Linked DNA regions of Danio rerio. The protein of the gene in region 1 binds, or shares a complex with, the protein of each later gene. Links are inferred from orthologs where the notes say so. Each region holds a gene or a part of one and is shown on either strand. Other genes may lie near its edges. The genes, in order: pex14, pex19 and pex5.

Evidence for each region.
Region 2: the proteins of pex14 (region 1) and pex19 are in contact, whole or in part, in an NMR structure (PDB 2W85), measured with the Homo sapiens proteins. The link is inferred for Danio rerio from reciprocal best matches to the Homo sapiens genes PEX14 and PEX19. Residues at the interface, in NP_004556.1 of Homo sapiens: Leu28, Thr31, Ala32, Lys34, Phe35, Asn38, Ser39, Arg40, Val41, Ser44, Thr48, Phe52, Lys56, Leu58; in NP_002848.1 of Homo sapiens: Gln67, Phe70, Phe71, Leu74, Phe75, Ser77.
Region 3: the proteins of pex14 (region 1) and pex5 are in contact, whole or in part, in an NMR structure (PDB 4BXU), measured with the Homo sapiens proteins. The link is inferred for Danio rerio from reciprocal best matches to the Homo sapiens genes PEX14 and PEX5. Residues at the interface, in NP_004556.1 of Homo sapiens: Thr31, Phe35, Asn38, Arg40, Val41, Ser44, Pro45, Thr48, Arg49, Phe52, Lys55, Lys56; in NP_001124497.1 of Homo sapiens: Glu59, Leu62, Val63, Glu65, Phe66, Leu67, Gln70.

The regions. Positions count from the first base shown.
Region 1 is NC_133198.1:31,826,961-31,833,881, reverse strand, and holds part of pex14 (peroxisomal membrane protein PEX14), read right to left. Parts: intron 2,088-6,921; coding exon 1,985-2,087; intron 1-1,984. UniProt on the Homo sapiens protein: Component of the PEX13-PEX14 docking complex, a translocon channel that specifically mediates the import of peroxisomal cargo proteins bound to PEX5 receptor.
Region 2 is NC_133177.1:40,110,973-40,118,444, forward strand, and holds the start of pex19 (peroxisomal biogenesis factor 19), read left to right. Parts: upstream 1-2,578; 5' UTR 2,579-2,597; coding exon 2,598-2,841; intron 2,842-4,360; exon of another isoform or gene 4,361-5,342; coding exon of another isoform or gene 5,343-5,420; intron 5,421-5,525; coding exon of another isoform or gene 5,526-5,609; intron 5,610-7,103; coding exon of another isoform or gene 7,104-7,256; intron 7,257-7,330; coding exon of another isoform or gene 7,331-7,429; intron 7,430-7,472. Other genes in the region: tspan37 (tetraspanin 37), read right to left, coding at 5,343-5,420, 5,526-5,609, 7,104-7,256, 7,331-7,429. UniProt on the Homo sapiens protein: Necessary for early peroxisomal biogenesis. Acts both as a cytosolic chaperone and as an import receptor for peroxisomal membrane proteins (PMPs).
Region 3 is NC_133191.1:12,422,277-12,429,197, forward strand, and holds part of pex5 (peroxisomal biogenesis factor 5), read right to left. Parts: intron 6,800-6,921; coding exon 6,680-6,799; intron 5,953-6,679; coding exon 5,809-5,952; intron 5,677-5,808; coding exon 5,606-5,676; intron 4,461-5,605; coding exon 4,239-4,460; intron 1,571-4,238; coding exon 1,405-1,570; exon of another isoform or gene 683-1,404; intron 627-682; exon of another isoform or gene 1-626.

The DNA.
Region 1 (6,921 bases):
ATCTTTATTTTTAAACAGCACTGAGTCATTCACTTTTGCATTCTTTTCAGAGTAAAAACTTTGAATAAAAAATTGAATATTAAAAAAGTAAAGTTAAATAAAAAAAATAAGGTAATAAAGTGATGATATGCATAGGTATAAAAAAAAACAATACAGTAAAAGGACTTTAATTTACATAACAACAAAAAATAACTAATATTACTAATAAATTATGATTTTTTAAAAATTGTTATGATGATTAAATGCATTAAATTATTTTAAAATGTTTTAAAGCCTCTGATAAAAAAAATATAAATAATAAATACTTTAATATTGATATCATTTGGTTATTTTTAATACAAATGCATCCATATGCCCTCATTAACTTTCTTTGGACTTAGTCCCTGATTTATCAGGGGCCGCCACAGTGGAATGAACCACCAATTACTCTGGCATATGTTTTATCTGGCGGATGCCCATCCTGCCGCAAACTTGCATTGAGACATATCTTGAAGTATGGTAAAAAAAAAAAAAATTCATTTTATTTTCTTGTCGGCTTAGTCCCTTTATTAATCGGGGGTCGCCACAGCGGAATGAATTGCCAACTTATCCACCACGTTTTTACGCAGCGGATGCCCTTCCAGCCGCAACCCATCCCTGGGAAGGGAAACATCCACACACACACTCATACACTATGGACAATTTGCTTACCCATGAAGCTAATTAGCTTACCCAATTAAGCTGTGCCGGATGTCTTTGGACTGTGGGGAAAACCAGAGCACCCGGAGGAAACCCACGCGAACGCAGAGAGAACATGCAAACTTCACACAGAAACGCCAACTGAGCAGAGGTTCGAACCAGCGACCTTCTTGCTGTGAAGCAACAGCACTACCTACTGCGCCACTGCTTCGCCAAAAATAACATTGATAACCTCACTCACCCTCAAGTGAGTTTAAACCTTTATGAGTTTATGAGCATCTTTTGTTGAACACAAAAGTATAACACAAAAGTATAAACAGTATATATATATATATATATATATATATATATATAGAAGAAAGCTAAAAACGTAACCATTGACTTCCATAGTAGGAAAAAAACAACAAATACTATGCAAATCTGTAGTTTCAGGTTTCTAGTTTGATTCTGAATATGTTCTTTTTGTGTTCAACAAAAGAAAGAAACTCAAACAGATTTGGAACAACATAATTTTCTTTTTTGGATGAACTATCCCTTTAACTTTATAAACTTTACAAAAAAAAAAACAGATAACTCAAATATCTTGACACATTTTTTTTCTACATTTGTCTACAAAAGAAATAAATTCAGACAGTAAAGAACAACCCTTAAGAACAAAAGCAGGAATATGAAAGCTCTAATATAGTAAGCTGCAGGAGTCATTTTGTATTGTTTCTTTACAATGATAAAAACAAAACATAAGAGTGTCTTCTTCTTTGTGAATTGTCATTTACACAGAAGACGACACCCAGCTGCAAGTCACTAACGAGCCAAAGTTTCTTCGGGAAGTGTCCCGCTTTCATGGTTGCCGGGATGTTTAATTACACCGGCTGCGTAGTGGGTAAAGAGAGGGGGAGGAGGAGGAGAGGCATCCCTCTCTGACAGCCGAGCTGAGATTCCTCACCTGTCCAAGGCGGGAGACGCACCTGTCATCGCACACTTAATCACCAGCGCGCTCCGGGCCCAACCGGGGAGCCACACCACCACGCCAAAATTAAAATGAACTTTCTTGCCACGCAGTTAAGAAGGCAAGAAGAAAAAAAAAGAAAGAGAAACGCTGTCATTCCTCTTCCCCTCATTAATATTCTGAGGTTAAGAGCTTTTCAGCGAAACGTAATTAATTGAAGCTGAGCTGACAGTAAACAAGCAATTTCAAATTAAAGCAAAATGACAGGACCGTCATTTGTAAAATGTGAGCAGATTTTGGCGACAGATAAATGAAGGAAAATGTTAAGGAGGAAAAAGTGATGAAGATATTAATCTTCACCTGTCTGTGTCAGCGTGCCACTCATATCCGCGATGTTGCTCTCGATCCGCTGCAGATGCTTCTTGTCCTCTTTGCTGCCCATAATGAGGGGAAGGATGTATTTCTGCAATTAAAAACACGGCACGTTATTAGAATTCCTCTCAGGAACAGGAAAAACAGGCCTGTGGACTGGGACTCACTCATGTCACCATACAGACAAAAGGCTATCTACTAGCGTTAGCGTGCTTAAACAAAAACTAATCAAAAATTCTGATCAAAAATTGTTATGAATTATTAATTAACAGGACCTATTTTGCACCTTTTTACAAGATGTAATACAAGTCTCAGAAGGCCCTAGAAAGAAGATTTCTTATTGACCTTATTCTAAAATGCAGAAGTGCGCCTGTTTTCGCGATTGTCTTAGAACTTCCGATTCAGTCGCCTATGGGAGAAATGACTAGGAATAATAAACGGCAGAAAACGGTCAAACTACCTGCTCTACAAACAAATGTTTGCATGACTATACAGACCAAGTAGAATAATAAAATTAGAAAATATCAAATTGCAACATCAAGCAGCCTAATGAGCAGTTTTTAACGTCAAAATATGAATGGAAGTGAATGAGACCGGAAGTCTCAAGCCAAAAAGATTCAAATGGCAGCGCCCGCTCGTCGGCAGAGAATAAGGTGAATAGAGTAGCATGCTAAAGATGCCCATTTTGCTATTGTGTGTGTTCCTTTAAATGCAAATGAGCTGCAGTTTTCTGCCCCTTTACAGAAGGCAGAGCCTTTACAACCATGGCTCAGATACTCTCAAGAGATCTGTTTGGTTTTATAATGTATCATGTCATCATACTCATCATACTCATGTGATATTGCTAGTTCTTTACATCACTGAAGTTTAAATTCTGCATGGATTTGTAAGACTTGTCAGTTTAAACATTTTTTTTTACACGTATTTACATAAAAAGTTGAATACAACATTTCTTTTTACTTAAACGAGTTCTTTTTTTAGCATTTAATTGTGCATAAACTGTCAAAATCTCAAGCTTCAACCTGATTAATATTTTGTGGAAATCCTAATTAATTTTTTCAGGACTCTAAAAAGATTATAAGAGCAGCGTTCATTTGCAACAGAAATCTTTGATAACATGTTATTACTGTAATGTTTTGACCAAGAGCCCCTTTAAATACATCCTTAATGAATAAAGGAACTATTGCGTATCATTTTTAGATTCAGTATTTTTCTGAAACAATAACAAGGGTTTTTGAACAATCACAATTAGGGGAAAGAATATTGAGCAAATACATTTTTACAGAACAAATTTCACACTAAATTCAAATGTAATTTATTTAATTTTTCTATTTAAATAATTAATTCTATTTAATAAATTAATTAGAGATGTAATGATTCACCAAGAGCAGGTTGGAAATCGGTTAAAATACGTGACGATTCAAACCAGTAGAAATGTTGAAAGAATTGCAATACATTTTTTGAACAGAAGATGACGCTGTGTTTACAGGCGCAAACTTTCGAGCAAGAGGTGGGGCGGTAGTTTAAAATGACACCGGTGAGGTGCCCCAGACAAACACAAACTGTGTGCAAATACTGAAAAAGACGTTTACTTACACTAACAGAACAATAAATATGATGCAGCATAGTGAAAAACTACTGTGACAGACGTTTACACGCAAAAAGCTATTAATAGGCCAAACCACGCGGACCAGGGGATTGGCATCTCCGCTTGCTCCGACGAGTGCTAATGTTGTGGAGATCACACGGCGCATCAGTGTTTTCATAGCCAAAATGTAAAGATGTTTTTCAGACTAAAAGAGAAAAGTTGTTGAAAATCATGACAAAATCATGTATTTTGATATTAGTATCATGAATCGTATCGTATCGCAGCATTAGGTGAATCATTACATCACTTTTTACCACAAAAAAAAGTCCTAGAAGTCTGAATCAGAGATTCAAATGGCTTTTTCTCTGGAAGTAAATGAAGTAATTTAATATTGAAGCTACATTTATGACGGGCTAGATAAACACAGCATGTTTTTATATAGATTACAGTACATCAACACAATATATTAAACAAGGAGGGGAAAAAAATAAATGAATTTTACACGGTACTATTGTTTATGCTTGATGCTTGATTTCACAGTATCGAGTTCGGCACTGAGTTTGGCAACAGCAGATAAAACATCATTATATGAATTACAATTAATAGGCCTGCATTCATGCTGAAAAAAACAAGACCTTTCATTATTATTTTTTTTTAATCCCTCTCAAAAGTCTTGTGGTTTTCTCACTTCATCCACAGCAATTTGCCTCAATGGCTGACACTGAGGCCGAGAATTAAGCATCGGGGCATGACTCTGGGTTCAACATCATTAAGTCTTTTAGCCCACAGGCTGGCTTCTCCATTTAAACATGTCACCTTCTGAGGACAATTGCTTGTCAGGATTTAAGCCTCGTAGAACAACATCTCCAAACACCGAGAATAAGAACCAAAGGTCACACGGCTGACGCTTCCATGAGCTCCTCACGCAGTCGTTGTTTTATTTCCGAACGTGCACGTCGATTTGTTGCTCTCAACAAACAAACAGCACATAGACAAGAAGATTAACACGGCATTTGGTGAATAGCTGGGTGCTTTAAAGCGTAATGTGCATGCGCAGGCTCTCCGTCTGGAAAACAGTTGGCCTTAACAGGTTTTCACAGCAGCACAAGCGTTGTTGACACCGGCGTAAGTAATAAACACTTTTAAGTTGAAAAAATCAGAATGAGTGTCAACACTGGGGTAGTTAATAAGCGAGCTGCTGTGAGCTCTGTTTACAATGTGCTCTATTATAGCATAAATAAGGTAGAGGAGGAGGAGGACGGGGCATATGGTGGCACCGGTGAGACGGTCCTCTGACATGACAGCAGCGAGAGCTTCGCAACAGGGAACTGGACCTCCAGCCACGGGCACAGATCCTATGAACAGCAGAGATGCACGCGGGGGACTGGAGGACCACAAATTGTGTGCGTGTTTGTTTGTATGAAACACAGAGGACTAAAAAGAAAAAGGAGTGGATAGTTTACCCAAAAATGGTTTACTCAAGTATTTACTCCCCCTCAAGTGGTTCAAAAACTTTTTATGCTTATTTTTTTTCTGCTGAGCACAAAAGATAATCTTTTGAAGAATGTGGAAATTACTAGCCGTTGACATCCACAGTAAGAAAAAGTTTGGATCAAGTGAAGAGTGAGTAAATGATGATCAGGTTTCAGATTTTTACAATTTTATATCCCTTTAATGAGAGTAATTATAAACCCAATTTAGCATTTTTAATGTGTGTGATACTTTACTTTTACATTCACACCAGGAGTGACTTTATTGATTGATTGATTAAATGATTCATTCATTTATTCCTTCGTTGACTCCTTTCATTGGTTCATTGTTTGATTCATTGGTTGATCCATTCATTGATTGATTGACTAACTCAATTATTCATTAATTCATTCACCAATTCATTCATTCATTGTTTCATTAGTTTGTTCATTGATTCATTCAATAATTAATATATTTATTGATTGATCCATTCATTAATTGAATAATTCAATTATTCATTAATTCATTCACCAATTCATTCGTTCATTATTTAATTCATTCATTCATTTATAGATTTGTTGATTAATCCATGCATTTAGTGATTAATTTATTGATTCGTTAATTAATTTACCGATTCATTTATTCATTAATTTATTTACTGATTCATTCATTCATTGATTCATTCATTTATAGATTCACTGATTGATTTATTGATAGATTGATTTATTCATTCATTGATTCATTCATTGGTTTAATAATTAACTTATTAATTAATTCACTGATTCATTCATAGATTCATTCATTCATTCACTGATTGATTCATTTCTTTGCTGATTCATTTATTCATAAATAGATTCATTGATCCATTGATTGCTTGATTGATTCATTCACTGATTCACTCATTTATTCATTCCTTTATTGATTTATTCATTAATTCATATATTCATTGACTCATTGAATGAATAAATTACTCATTCATTCATTCATTCATTCATTCATTCATTCAATCATTCATTCAATCATTCATTCATTCTTGAATATATCTAGGTCCAAGTCAACAAAGGGCCAGACCAAATGTTTCTGTATTGATATACTTTAAAATGCAATTTATTTAGAAAGCTGAATTTTGAGCAGCCATTACAGTTTGGGAAAATCGTATTTCTAATCTTGCAAATTTTCACACAGCTCAGCAAACCAATAATATTTAGAAACTCAGTGGTCCCTCATAATTCATGGGAGTTACGTTCTAAAAATAACCCGCAATAGGATGAAATCTGTGAGGTAGTCAGCATTATTTTATACAATTAAATTATTATAGATGTTTTAATGCTGTAAGACCCCTTACTACACACTTTATACGCTTTTCTCAGACACGCATTAACATTTCATACTTTTCTCTCGTTTATACATTTGAAAAGTAAAAAAAAATAAGTGCAGTGTTATAGAATGTAATTAAAGATCAAAACCATTTGAACATTTATTTATTCCGTAATGGCACCCTACAGCCACGTAAACGTCTACTTTCCTTTAGCAAGTCTAGAACTTTTTGTGCGACGATTAGCATCTTCAGCACGCTGCTAGTGATTGAAGGTTTATGTAAATTTGGCAAGCTGAATACATTCTGTACTGTACAGGAGACACGGCACAGAGGAGATTGATTGACATTGGTCAACAGCCAGTCAGGACGCAGAACACAATGCGCTGATCAGGACGCACACAAAGCACTGTAGAAAAAAAAACACGTGAAATTGCACGATACGCGAAACAGCGAGGCCGCGAAAAGTGAACCGCGTTACAGCGAGAGACCACTCTACTACAATATTCAACATAAGTGTAACTCAATATACATTTTTTTACTGCATATGAA
Region 2 (7,472 bases), on another chromosome or scaffold:
AACCATCGGCCATTAAGAAGTGTTGTTTCAGCGTGTATTTTTAGCACCTCACTTTGAGTCTATTCTGCCTTCACACAAATCTGAGAATACATGGTGTTCTTTATAAATAATAATGAGCTTTTTTCCCCTTAAAGAAACACTTCTGGAAATGGGAAAAAAACTCTAAAAATGCAAATACTGCAATGTCAATATTACATGTAGTTATTTGCAGATTTTCCTGCACTTACAGATAGGCATAGGTCGGTATAAGTTTCTGATGGCAAGATAACCTTTAATAGAAATACCACTGTACTCTAAAATAGGTACTTTTAAATATCTGAAAAACAAACGAAAAAAAAAAAAAAAACAGTTCACCATTGAACAAAATAAATTTTATTTTGGGAAACATTTCTAATATTTGAGCTGTAAACATGTCAGCCTATACAATAAAAATAAATCATTGATTTCTGCTCCCTTCATTAGTTTCAAACTAGGGCTGGGCAATATGCAAAAACGCAATCTTGATAATTACTTTCTATATTAAACGATAACGATATATTTTTTGATACAAGTTGTTAATGTTTCCAGATTTAAAAAGAGTATCTCAACAATGACTGAAGCCATAAAAATTAGTTCAAGAAATAGCAAAAAAATTTCGGCAGATAAATTTTCAGTGGCTGAAAATTCAATACATCTCTAATACAGGGTTTCTGCAGGTTTTATCAAGTTAAATTTAAGAGTTTTTAAGACGTTTTAAGACAATTATGAATAAAATTTTAAACTTATACAAGGTAAATGCTAAGAATTTTTTGGAATATGCCAGAAAAAGATTTTCACTTGCCTAATCAAAAAATTTTCAGAATTGAATACATTTAATACAACAATAATAATTAAATAATAAAAAATATAGCTTTGGTCAGTATACTCTGCAGTAAATAAATGCAAAACTACTAAACAAATTTTACTGGAAGTAATAAAAAAACATTGTTAAATGGCGTTAAAAATGCTATATTTAAATAAATAAAAATTGTATTGAGATTGTTGGTGATTGTATGAGCATACATTGTTGTATGCTCGTATGTTAATGGCCAGATTGGGAAGATATACGTGAACAAAAGAAAATTAAGACCTGTTATAAAAAAAAAAGATTTAAGACCCACAACACAATATATTGGTAGATTTAAGACTTAAGGCCAAAAATGTAGCTTTTGGAATTAAGGACATTTCAAGACCCCGTGTTAATAACAACACACTTTTAGATTACCATTATTGCATTTTCTGCTGTGTGATCGGCTCTTAGATCAATATAGAGTGGAAAAAAGTCCAGAGCTTATTATTATTGACTAATTATCAAGATTTGATTTAATATAGATTATTAACCCAGCCTCATTTCAAACACAGATTTCTTTACTACACATTTATAAAAAACAAAGAAAAAAAAACCCACCTTGACCTTTCCAAACCTTGAAACTGGTTATCATCCCATGCCTACTTACAGACCTATGTTGTCTTACCTGTATATTATTCCTCAATGGCTTTTTATTGTTGTTTAATGGTGTTGAATGTAAGTATTGTTGTAATTATTCTTCATTTTGTAGAATTTTGTTCATGCATAATTTACACTATACAATAAATTATTTATTCTACACATTTGCTTTCCTTTCAACATAACAACAGTGAATTTCTATTCTACAGACCTCTCCAGAAGTAGAGATGAAACTGTCCACAAATAAAGGCGTATAATCATAAATAATCATAAATATTACCCAAATTGTATTACCACATTTACACAAATGTAAAATACATTTCATTTCTCTCTTCAGACCCACATTGTCATGGCAAAAAATCTCGCATTTTGTGAAACATTTTTCAAGTACACAATACGTTATACATTCCTTTTCATAAAGAAATGAACAATTATAATCATAAATTAAAGCAGACAACGTGAGAAAACATTTTCTCTCCACCTATTGAGTGAACAAAGCGGCTCCAGGTACAGTTCGGTATCATTTCATTCATTTGTTCACGACACAATTTATGCAACATTTAAGGCGGTGGACGTTACTAAAAAAGCACTGGAATAAAAAAAAACACTCGCTACACTTTTCTGCCTCTGTTAGTTTCTCATAAATGAAACAAAGAGTTTTTGTAATTCAGTCTAGTCGTGGGGGCGTACATTTTACAAGCCGCCCGCAGCAGGACGTCGCTCTTCCGGTCATGCTGGTGTAAGATTACCTCGCCATTGTTAAGGTTTCGTCTCTTAGCTACAGAAATACAACCTTGTAGAATTACACAGCATGCTTAAAAATGTAAGTAAAGGCTGCAAAATATATCTAACATCAAAACAGCATCCAACACGAGGCCTCAATCCCCACACACCGTCCCCGTATTTTCGCGATGACTCGTCCTGTAAATCCCATGCAACTCTCGAGTTCAAACTCGAGCAGGCTGCGCTAAGAGGCCTAACCCGCATAAAGCCAGGCCTCAGACACCGAAGGGGTTATAACGTTACTAAACCCTGATAAACACGATTAAACGCAACTTTAAAGACATAAACACACGTTACATGTATATTTGGACCCTTACCGACTTCAACGTCTCTCCGAATCTGCAGATGAATGAACGCACGCGGAGCTTTAGCGGAACGTGGCTTTTTGGCGCTGCGCTCTTGTGACACAAAAAACACGCCACAAGGGAGCTCAGCAGAGGAAGCGGAAGTCTCGACCCCTCCCACATTCGCAATCCATTCAAATGCAGATAAACCGCCGCTTATGATACAACTAGATAGTTTTTACGTGTTTTTGTCTCTTCTATTGTCGTTTTTCCATTTCTTTTTATTTGGGGGAAGATTTTACAGCACAAGTAAGTAAACATGAAGCATCTAAAGAATCTCCCGTCATGATGCGAACAAGACGAACACACTCAAACGAGGAATAAGAACAAATAGCAAGAATAAACATTGTAGAAAATGACAAAAAATACAGTAGATGAATAAATACGTTGACACTGGCCGATATTTGATATAGTCTAAATCAGGCTCGTAGCCAGCCTGGTGAAAGGGATGGTTTTCTTTTTCTAAAAAGTGGACCTTTTTGCAGTTATTCGCTTCATTTTCTTTTTAATTGTGAGGTTTAAATGCTGATTTAGAGATATTTTAAGCATTATTTTAGCTGGATTAGCTTATCAGATGGTCAACATACCACACTTTTTGATGTACTAAAAATATTTACTAAAGATTTAAAATGAAGAAACATGAAGAAAAAATACTTATTTTTAACTTAATATACTTAACTTTATTACCCTAACTTATCCTATATAATTAGAAAAAAATGTAATCTGTTAAAGTTTTAAATTTAAAATGGTTGTCATTTATTAGGCAAATAACAAACTGAGCATCAAATTCAATTTCCTCAGGCAGAATTTTTCCATTTGAATATTGAATCATTAAAACAGTAATGATAATAATGTAGAGCTTGACAATTTTCCAGCCTCTTTTGTAAAAAATAGTACATTTGAAAATTCATCGATTACAACAATAGTCAAATCATTATTATAATTAACGTCTAGGTGCTTTACACTTTTTTATTGGTCATTTTTTCTTTCAAAAATAAGGTTCAAGACTTAGAATAAAAGTTCATTGTAAAATGTTTTTGCTATTTAACAACAATACAATATGTCAGTGGTGAAAGATGACTTCATTTATGACACATTCTGCTTGGTCTTAAAGCTATTGATATCTTAATTTCACAATTTATGATGGCTTAGCAATCAAAATGGGACAAATGAGCTCACGTATGATACAAAATCTGGACCTTTGTCTGTGGGGGGGGTGGGTCTTTCGAACTACACAAATCCACTCTGGCTACGGGTCTGTAAGTAGTTGAAGCTCTGAAATACTTTCACAAAATATAATTAGCATTTTTTTCTGCTGACCCAAATAAATGTGTGATATTTGCCCTGCAATGAAACAAAATTCATGATACAGGAAAAATGAGAACTTAAATCTGATTTTAAAAATGTTGTCTTGTTGAACAATGGTCTATATGCACAGCTGTTTTTCAGCTAATGAATTTCCAGTGAAAGGTGTATGTGACTATTTTCAGTTTCATACGGTTCTTTTTACCGCATCAATGTCGTAATGTGATTCAAATATAATCGGTTAAATAGACTTAAGCATTCGTTTTGGTTGTTAAAGAGTAAAAAGGGATGTAAGACCATTTAAATAAAGGTAGGGGCCGTCATTAGCAGCAGGCTAGCGCAGAGACTCAATTGAAAATACTGTGGTAAAATAAATGTTTTAAAGACATGGCTGTGCAGTGCTTCTCATCCAATCTGAGACCCACTTTATCCCGGATATCTATCAGGCAGTGATGATCACAGATTTTTCAGAGTTTAATAGTTTTATTGATTCTCGGGCAAATTTCAGAATGGAATACAGTATATAACTCTGTAAAGAACCAACAGTTTACCCTATTAACAAACCCAACCCAAACTAATCCCTAACTACGACTTTAAGGTCTCGGCTTAGCTGTCATTAAATACAGTTAAAGCCTCCATCTTTATATAATAAAGAGAAAATAAAATACAATAAAAAAAATGAATAGGTAAGTTCAGTCAATAACATATCACAGTTACACTGTCACAATCAGTATGTTTCTCACACATTTATTACTATTCCATTTACAAACAGGTTAAGTACTTGGACCAGTTTTATAGTTTAGGTTTAGCTTTAGTCCATTTGCTTATAAGACATTTTCTTCCAAATGTGGCCACTCTAGCAAGTTCTACCGGCCATTTTTGAAGGGAAGGGGCATCCTCTGATTTCAAACTCATGAGAATTATTTGTCTCCCAATCAGCAAACTGGTTTGGACCCAGGATTTTATGTCTTAATTTTTTATTTCAATGTCTATCCAACCACCTAACCACCTAGTATAGTCTAGGGCATAATGTGATATAAAAATCTACAACCAAACAAATGTGTTTATGAACTCTTTTCCAGAAATCTAGAATTTTTTGTACAAGACCATAGAGCATGAACTAGATTCTGGCTGACTGAAATTAAAAATCTGTGTGCATATACCCCATTGTCTTCATTTTTACCAACAGCCAGCAATGCATTTGTAGCCAACATTAAAAAACAAACAAATTTTTTATTCAGTAGTATCTATTTTATTGTGCAAAGTAAATGCCTTGGTGTGTAAATAAAACATCTATAAAAATATGAATAGTCACACCTTAGAAATTCAGGAAAACATGGAGTGCTTTATGTATTAGAATAGATAATAACAAGTGATATATAAAAAGACATTAAAATGTAATATGCAGGCATTTAGGAATATTGTTTAAAGATATTTGGATGTTTTTAGTCCTGGTCCAGAATTCGATACTCTTGTGGGACTGGGTATCTCATTAGCTGTCCCACTGTAATCCAAGACAATACCTAAAGTGGGGAATGGTTAGAATTGACATCAAATCTATACACTGTAAATATATTATACACTTCAATAATAAATAAATGAATTATTACTCAAATCACAGAGCTCACCAGCAAAACAAGAACCACTAAAGATGTTATGTGGATGATGTGCACCACAAGTAGTAATAGCTCCTTAAGTTTAACCTGACAGGCCTGGAATAGAAAAACAAAACAAAATGTGATTGTTGATCATAACAAAGTCATTCATTTATTTTCCTTTGGCTTAATCCCTTTATTCATCAGGGGTCACCACAGCTGAATGAACCGCCAACTTAGCCAGGATATGTTTTACACATGCTAATGCCTTTGAAGCTGCAACCCATTCAGGATGTACGTGACTTTTTTTCTGTAGCAGAACATTAAAGACCAAAATGTACTGTCAAGGGCCACAGTTTTAAGTTAACAGATTTCTAATAAATTCTGATTGCCTGTATGTCATTTTTTGACTCTTGCCAAGTGTCAGAAGCAGTTAACTTCCTTTATTTAGCTTTAAAAATCACCAAGGATTACAGGTTTAGCTAACATTCACTTCTTTACTGTTATACTGAAGCAAACAAGTCACATATACATGTTGGATGGTCTGAGGGTGAGAAAATTAACACAATATTTCCTTAAATATCACAATGTCTAAACAGTTTAAATACATTTTCCAGATAAAATACAATCAAAAGTTTTGTATTACTTTCAGTCGTTTGGGATGCAGTGACAATCAGCCAATTATTTTGTGGAACAGATCCACAACTTTTGATGTTGATATATTATAATATAAGTCCTTGTGTTGCACGTGTTAAGAGGTTTGCTGAAGGTGGCAGCTGACGTGCAGCGAGAGGTTTGCGTCTTTAAAAAAACTATCACAGTTCGTGTTTGTTTAAAAGGAAGAATGATCAATAAATCCATATTAAACAGTCCCTTAAAAGTGACGTTGTATCTTCGCTTTCGGGCTCAGCCGCGCTTTGCACTCACACTACAAACATACCGCACCAAAAGTCCAACTGAACTGCGCTCTGGCAGACCTCTTCCAACCGGGCCAGGGCCAACCAACTGAATAGCACCTGGACCCGATTGGGAGCACTCAAACTTGTCAAACAAACCAGAAAAATGTGCCCAGGCATGGTATGGACACCCTAGTGTGAGTGCACCTTTAATTAAAAATATCTATATTCCGATTTAACATTATATACTCCATAAACTTATAATAAAAATGGATAAGTTTCTTCTTATCTTTTAAAAAAATATTCATTCATTTTTCTTTGGTTTAGTCTCTTTGTAATCAGGAGTTGCCACAGGAGAATTAACTGCCAACTATTCAAACTAGACCAACTTCCAACTAAAATAGTTGCCAACTTCCAAGTGCCCTTCCAGCTGCAGCCCAATACTGGGAAACAGTTTAAAAGACATCAAATCATCAAAAGAAAAAATATATACATTACAGTGTGGTATAGTAGTTTTAATAAAGTAGTTATAATAGTAGTTATAACAAAAAAAAGACAAAATACATAGATGAATTATTCTAATCCATTACTTCAGAAAACAGAATTTAATGCAATAGTACTGCCTCAGCTAAAACTCAGGAAATCATGGAGAGACAAAAAAATAGGAAAATATTTTTTAGATTATGGGTAGCTCAAAAAGAATTAGTGACTGTACCTCATTGTAGAGAAGCATGGGTGCATCTAAAGTCCCATTGCACGAGTGAAAGGTTGTGTTGCAGCAGCTTTGAGGAACATCATATTTCCCACTGTGATTAAACCAGGGCGTTTGCAACCAATCTGTGTAGTTCATGACACCACAACACTGCAACTATAACAAAAAAAATGATCACAATCTGATTTTGCAAACAAACAGAATTTCTAGAAATGCCATGATGCAAATACCTCACTCTGGAGACGATCCACTGCTTTGGTATCCGGATCTTGACTGTTATTACTGTAGTTCTGAAACACATCTTTAAGGGGTGCCAACTCTGCATCAAGCTTGAAAAAAAGACATGTAAAATATTGTAAAAGACACTGTAGT
Region 3 (6,921 bases), on another chromosome or scaffold:
ATGAACAGAACGAAATGCCTCAATAAATCCGATCTGCCTGTTTACATGACAATCGCATTGTCACATATCCGATCTATATCTGATTTATTTCCACATATGAAGGAGGCCTGAAACCGCTCTCTTAATATCCGAATGCATGCGTTTTTTCGTGTTTACACGGTCATAGAACAGATCTGATCTGTGTCACATATGAGCAAAAAATCGGAATAGGGTCACATTTAACTAGCAGTGTAAACGGGGCCTTAGTGACCTCAGGCCTAAATTTTTCAATAAATAAACATGCTTTGTCCAAATGGACCCAATAAATATCTGGAAAAAAGCAACTGCTCCATTTGTTCAGGCTGGGCATTTCTTTCTTAGTGTGCAGAGTTGAGCAAAACGGTTGCAAACAACATGATGAATCTATGATTTATTAGGCTTTTAATAAAAAAATATCAATCCATCACTTAATTTTTTTTACAATAACCAGCAAACTATCCTAGGACTGAGAAGATGAACAGTAAGATGAGCTAACTCAAACCACATAGACTGGAGGCCCAGATACAATGAATTAATCTTTCCTGTCTCTTATTGACCTTATTCTGCTGACGAGTGGGCGCTGCCATTTGAATCTTTTTGGCAGGAGACTTCCGATCTCATTCACTTTCATTCATTTTTAGACATTAAAAACTGCTTGTTTCGCTGTTTGATGTTGCAAACTGATATTTCCTTGTTATATTATTCTACTTGGTCTGTATAGTCATGCAAACATTTGTTTGTAGAGCAAGTAGTTTGACAGTTTTTTTGCCGTTTATTATTCCTTGTCATTTCTCACATAGGCGACTGAAACGGAAGACAATCGCGAAAACAGGCGCACTTCCGCATTTTAGAATAAGGTCAATAAACTCAAAGATGCTTTATAGATTTGTTTAAGATGACACTGCTTGCGTTTTTGAGAATTACATGTAAGAAAATCAGTTTGTAACATTTAAATTATACTCAAATGATTCGAACTTCCCATTACTAGACTTATAGGCTATAGCTGCAGTCATTTTTTTTTCATTTTGAGTTATGCTTATATCAAATAATTCCCTGTATGTTGCAGACCTTGTACCTTTATTTTCTGTTTTCCCAGAAATGATTCTCTATTTCCCTGGGGAGTGCACAAACTGATAGAAGAGCACCATGGCTGATACTGAAATCTTGTGGGAGATAGAAAAGTGGGGCTGGGTTTGTGAAGAGCAAGTTAAAATTAGACCCAGAAATGACATATCTATTAAGCAGGGAATATTTTCAAGTCAATAAGTTATTATTTTAAATGTTTAAACTAATTAACTACTAAAACAATACAGTTGAAACTTTAGTAAATGGGTGAGTAGATGGTTTTTAGGTGAAACCACTCTTTAGGTGTAAATGAAAACAAACCTGTGGTGTGACAGAGAGTGCGGCAGAGAAACAGTCCACAGCCTTGTCATACTCTCCACTCAGATTAAAGAGAACACCCAGACCACACTGCAGCTCCGGGTCCACCTGCGAGGGCTCAGCCGCCGCTGCATTCAGAAACAACGTCTGCACTTCACCAAACAGTGCTCTAAGAGAAACAAACTCACATAAATTAATTCAAATACACACCATCATTAAAGCTCATGTTGTTTCAAAACCCTTCTGATATTCAAAACTATCCTAAGTCAAAATACAGTCATTTGTACAGTAACACTTTCAAGGGCCTTTTTTTCATGTCGTCCTCATTTTTGTTTTACAATCTTCTTTAAAGTCCTCTTTTTGTGCTATTAGGAATAAAAGGCCATAAGGATCATTCAGGTCTGTAATGAAATGGTAAGTAGCATCAGGTCATTAATCCAGAGTCGTTCAAAAAACTATTTTAAGATCTGCAGAGTATTTTCAGATGGCCACAATGCTGCGTGCAGATGTAAAGACACACCTGTGTTTGTGTTAGATGTATTTTTAGAGGAACTGCTCGCTTATGATTGTGACAAATGTAAATCTCTTGCTTGGTTACAATGTCCAGTCCAGTGACTTCTGCATGTCTCCAGCTGATGTACAAATGTGTTGAAAACTGGCGGCTGGAATTGAATACACATCTGATCAACGCACAGTGTCGAATAGTCAAGAACAGGGTTTAAAAAAGTATTTTAACAACACCTGTGGCATATTTGCGAAAAAAATTTCTGTCTCATTACTCAAGTTTGTTTATTGTTAAGCAGATATTATGGTTACAGTAACACACAAGGTGAACTGAATGCCAAAATGACACGTCATAATTTTGTGTGTTTATTACTTATTTTATGATTCTTAAAATATGTTTATTAATGAATAAAATTATAATAGCCAAGATTTTTTTTAGCTTTCACATTAATCAATCTCCGATCATCCATAATGACTTGTTTTAATGTAAATGTGACACTGGAGCACAGACATTTAGTTTTACATTTGCATAATTTAATTATTAGCTTTTCATTAACCCATCAATCTTTCATTTAACCAAATTTGACATATCCTGGCATATTGTAAAATTGAGTGAATGTCTTAATGATGTCAACAAAAAATGGAATAAACATCATTTATTATTGTTTGTTTTATAACAACAACTACATTTAAGCCTATGTTCTTAACAAGTTAGGTCAGAAGTAATCTAAAGGTAATTCACAAGTAATGAGAATACATTACGCCAGGGAGTCATTTAATAGATTATGTCGTCACCTTGGAACTATAAGGTTCTATCTGCATTCTTAATGATTTTAAGATAATGAGCTTTACAGTTTTTGTATTCCATAGGAAACAGTATGTGTGTAACATTTGTTTTTTAAATAAAAAGTCTTAAAATGTAATAATTAGTGTAAAAAAAACATCCCATAATGTAAATAAGTTTTCATTTAATAAGAATATGTGAATAACTCAATTTTGAAAAAAATGTCAGATAGAACATAATTCTACATTCTCACTGACTACATTTTTAAGAAGGTAATCAATGTGTAATCAGGAGCACTGTGTTAATATATTTACAAATCGTAATATTTTATTTTAATTTTAATAAATTTTTAAAGCATATATTTTCTCATAAAGGTTTTTGATTTTTATGTTTGATTATTTATTGCCACATCAGCAACTTATGGCAATTTAATGGCAAGATCCATATTTAAAAAAATGACATTATTACATAATAACAACTTCACAATTCAATAAGTAATTTTTCCCCTCGTAATTTAAAAACTTCATAATTCAATTATTTTATTTTTTACATTAAAAACATTAGGATTTTTTTAGCTCAATATATGATTTCCCTGTAAAGGTCAAACGGTATCATTTTTTTTTATTATCGCATCATTTTAATGTGCTGATTTACTGCTTAAGAGACATATTTTATTATTAATATTATTATTATCAATGTTATAAGCTATTGTACTGCTTAGCATTAGATTTGTATTGTTTTAAAATTTTGACGAAAAGTAAAACAACATAAAAGTCTTTGCTGTCTACAAAACCTAACAAAAAAAAAAAAAGAAATTAACATGATTTTTAGTTTATCATTTGGTATCAGAAGTGGCTTATTTGAAAGGCAAAGGGCTCTAGATTACACTTATTTTACCATAATAAAATATAATCAAGCTTAAATTTTTAATTTATTAATTAAGACAGTAAGGTCTGACTTTGCTTTGACAAAAGTCTTGTCTCTTAACAAAAGTAGAATATAAAATCATGGAAAAAGAATGAATATTGTGTATGACCCCTATCAGCTTGAAGGACTGCATCCATACATCTCCGCAATGACTCAAATAACTTGTTAATAAAGTCATCTGAAATGGCAAAGAAAGCGTTCTTGCAGGACTCCTAGAGTTCATCAAGATTCTTTGGATTCATTTTCAATGCCTCCTCTTTCATCTTAACTCAGACTTGCTCAATAAATGTTCATATCTGGTGACTGGGCTGACCAATCCTGGAGCACCTTGACCTTCTTTACATTCACTGAAAAAATCTAAGTTCTGCCATTTTTCCAAATGATTAACTAAAAGTTATTATTTGTTGCTCTTACAACTGGGATTGACGACAAGACATTTGTCAGGTAATGTATTATGACTACTATCTTTATAAGATATTAATGTACAGGACTGTGTACAAACTTCAGTTCTCAGTGTGGTGCAAAAATCATAACGTAGTGTTGCTCTTTGTCTACTGCACTCATGTAATGTACATCTTATACATCCAGCATGTGTCTGAACAGCCTTTAGGAGTCCTCTTACTCTGGCAGAAGGGATCCAAATCTTTCACTCTCTTTCTCTCTCTCCCTCGCCCCCTCCCTCTGCTTCTCTCGCTCATGCTGCTCCAGGATGATTCTGTATTTGGGGTTGTGCCTCAACCAGTCCCGGAGCGTCTCGCAGGCCTGTCTGTGAAGCGACTCGTTGGTGAAGCTCACAGCAAGAGCCATTAGAGCCGTCAGATTGTCCTTTTTTAGCTCTATACATCTGAAAACAACAATGGAGACTTTACATAAAAAAACAAAGTGCACACTGTTTTAATACATCAGATCGGTACAAGTAGGGAGAATTTTATGCGTTTAAATATATTTTATTAAGTAATTCATTAGGTGGTGCATTACAACTGTTTTTTATAATAAAAACACACAAATAAAACATACAACAGAAATGTTATTATGAAAAAAATACCTTTTATCATTTGGAGATATATAAAGTATCTCCAAATTATAAAAAAAACAGTAATGAAGACATAATAAATATTATTAATCACAAGTTTGCAAAGATCAACCCAAATATCAATCAAAATCTTGCAACAATAAATACAAAGAAGTAAATAAAAATAAATAGAAATATAAACGAACAAACAAACAAACGGGCGAACAAACGAACGGTCACCACTACTCTCACATGGTCAGTTCCTAGATGGGAGACCATATGAGAAGGCTGTTGCCAAAAGTGGTGTTAGTGAGACCAGCAGGGGGGGCTCTACATGCAGTTTGTGTGGGTCCTAACGCCCCAGTATATTGATGGGGACTCTGTGGTCGTTAAAAATCCCAGGATGTCCTTCGAATAAGAGTAGGGGTTTAACGCCCGCATCCTGGCTAAATTTGCCCACTGGCCTCAGTCCATCATTGCCTCCTAACCATCCCCATACCATAATTAGCTTCATCACTCTCCTCTCCACCAAGCTGGTGTGTGGTGTGCAATATGGCTGCAGTCACGTCATCCAGGTGGATGCTGCACACTGTTGGTGGATGAGAAGAATCTCCCCAAAAATGCAGTACAGGTGAATTGAGTAGGCTAAAATTGTCTGTAGTGTATGAGTGTGAATGAGTGTGTATGGATGTTTCCCAGAGATGGGTTGCAGCTGGGAAGGGCATCCGCTGCATAAAACATATGCTGGATAAGTTTGCAGTTCATTCCCCTGTGGCGACCCCAGATTAATAAAGGGACTAAGCTGAAAAGAAAATGAATGAATAAATGGTTCGCCATGCATTTTCAATGTCTCTAAAAACAAAAATATTTCAAAAGTTTTGTGATTTTGGAAACATAACAGAGGAGACAGACTGCAATCTATGAACTGACACTAGCCAACCAAAGCAGATGCACTCGGACGCAGATATATTTCCTACCTCCGGAGGGCGCTGATCGCAGCAAACTCCTGCTCGTTCTCCGCCTGGCAGGTGCCCAGATATTGCCAGGCCTGCAGTATCGTCAGACACGCACAGTCAGCGTTTCAGAAAGACATAGAAGGAAACAGAGCACTGTCAGAATCCCCAGAGATAAAATGTGCCATGAGTTTTGGATGTCAGGATTATAAGTATGAGTCTCTGACCAGCTGGTTGTCTGGCTGTCTCTGAACGGCGCTCTCGAAAAGGCGCACAGCTCCAGGAATGTCTCCCGCCTCCATCCGCTTCACCCCTTCTGCAAACGGATCCTCATGGGACAGGTAGGGGTTGTCTTCCTCAAACTGATATCCCTAAAAAAAGTAAGAAAGCAGGCATTTGGAAGCAATATTTAAAAGCAAATATTCATAAACTAGTCTTCAATTTCATTTATTCCTTTAAATTTTTTCTCTTTAATTTTTGGCCATTCTCTAAAAGTTTTAATTCCACAATAAATTAGGATTTAATCTATCAAATATGATGGATTTCAGTCATAAAAATGGAATCAGCTGTATAGATATACAAATTTTTAGATGTAATGTACACCTAATGAAATAATGATGTGATCTAGTGTCTATGTATGTTAAATGGCAAAAAGACTTCTTAAATGTTATTTTTAAATTGTTATAATATTGCACATTATCACGTTTTTTATTAAAATAAATTAATAATAATTCAAATTGTAATAATTGTAAATTAATATACATTTTTATAAATAATATTTAAAATATTTTAATTAATAAATGCAGTAATAATACACACATCTGGAATATGAACAATATAGTAAAACAATAAAGTTAAATAGCCTCTCTGTGCAAAAAAAAAAAAAAAAAGGGAAGAATTTTATGCATAAAATGTAATAGTTTTATTTTTGTATATTCTTGCTCTGCAAATGAAAATTTGTTCAAAATCGAAGCAGAAACAAAGACCAAAACTAACATGCATGCACCATAACAAAGCACAGACTACTGGCTGGAAAAGAGCTCAAATTTTCCAGTTCTCTGTGCTGTAAACGGGCACAGATGTACACTGTCCAGATACCTTGTCGTAAGAGCTGCTGAGCATCTGGTCGAAGTCTGAGAGCCAGGGGTGAGCTTCAGCATCCCTCTTGGCCATTTCCTCCCACTCCTGTTGGAGCTTCTCCCAGAAATCAACATCGCTCTGTATAAAAACACACATACATACACACAGACCAATGAGTTAAAGCCAAAACAAAACAATCTTAATCTAATCTACAGACTTTAGGGTGACAGGTTTTAAGAAAATGAAAATTGCTAAAAAGT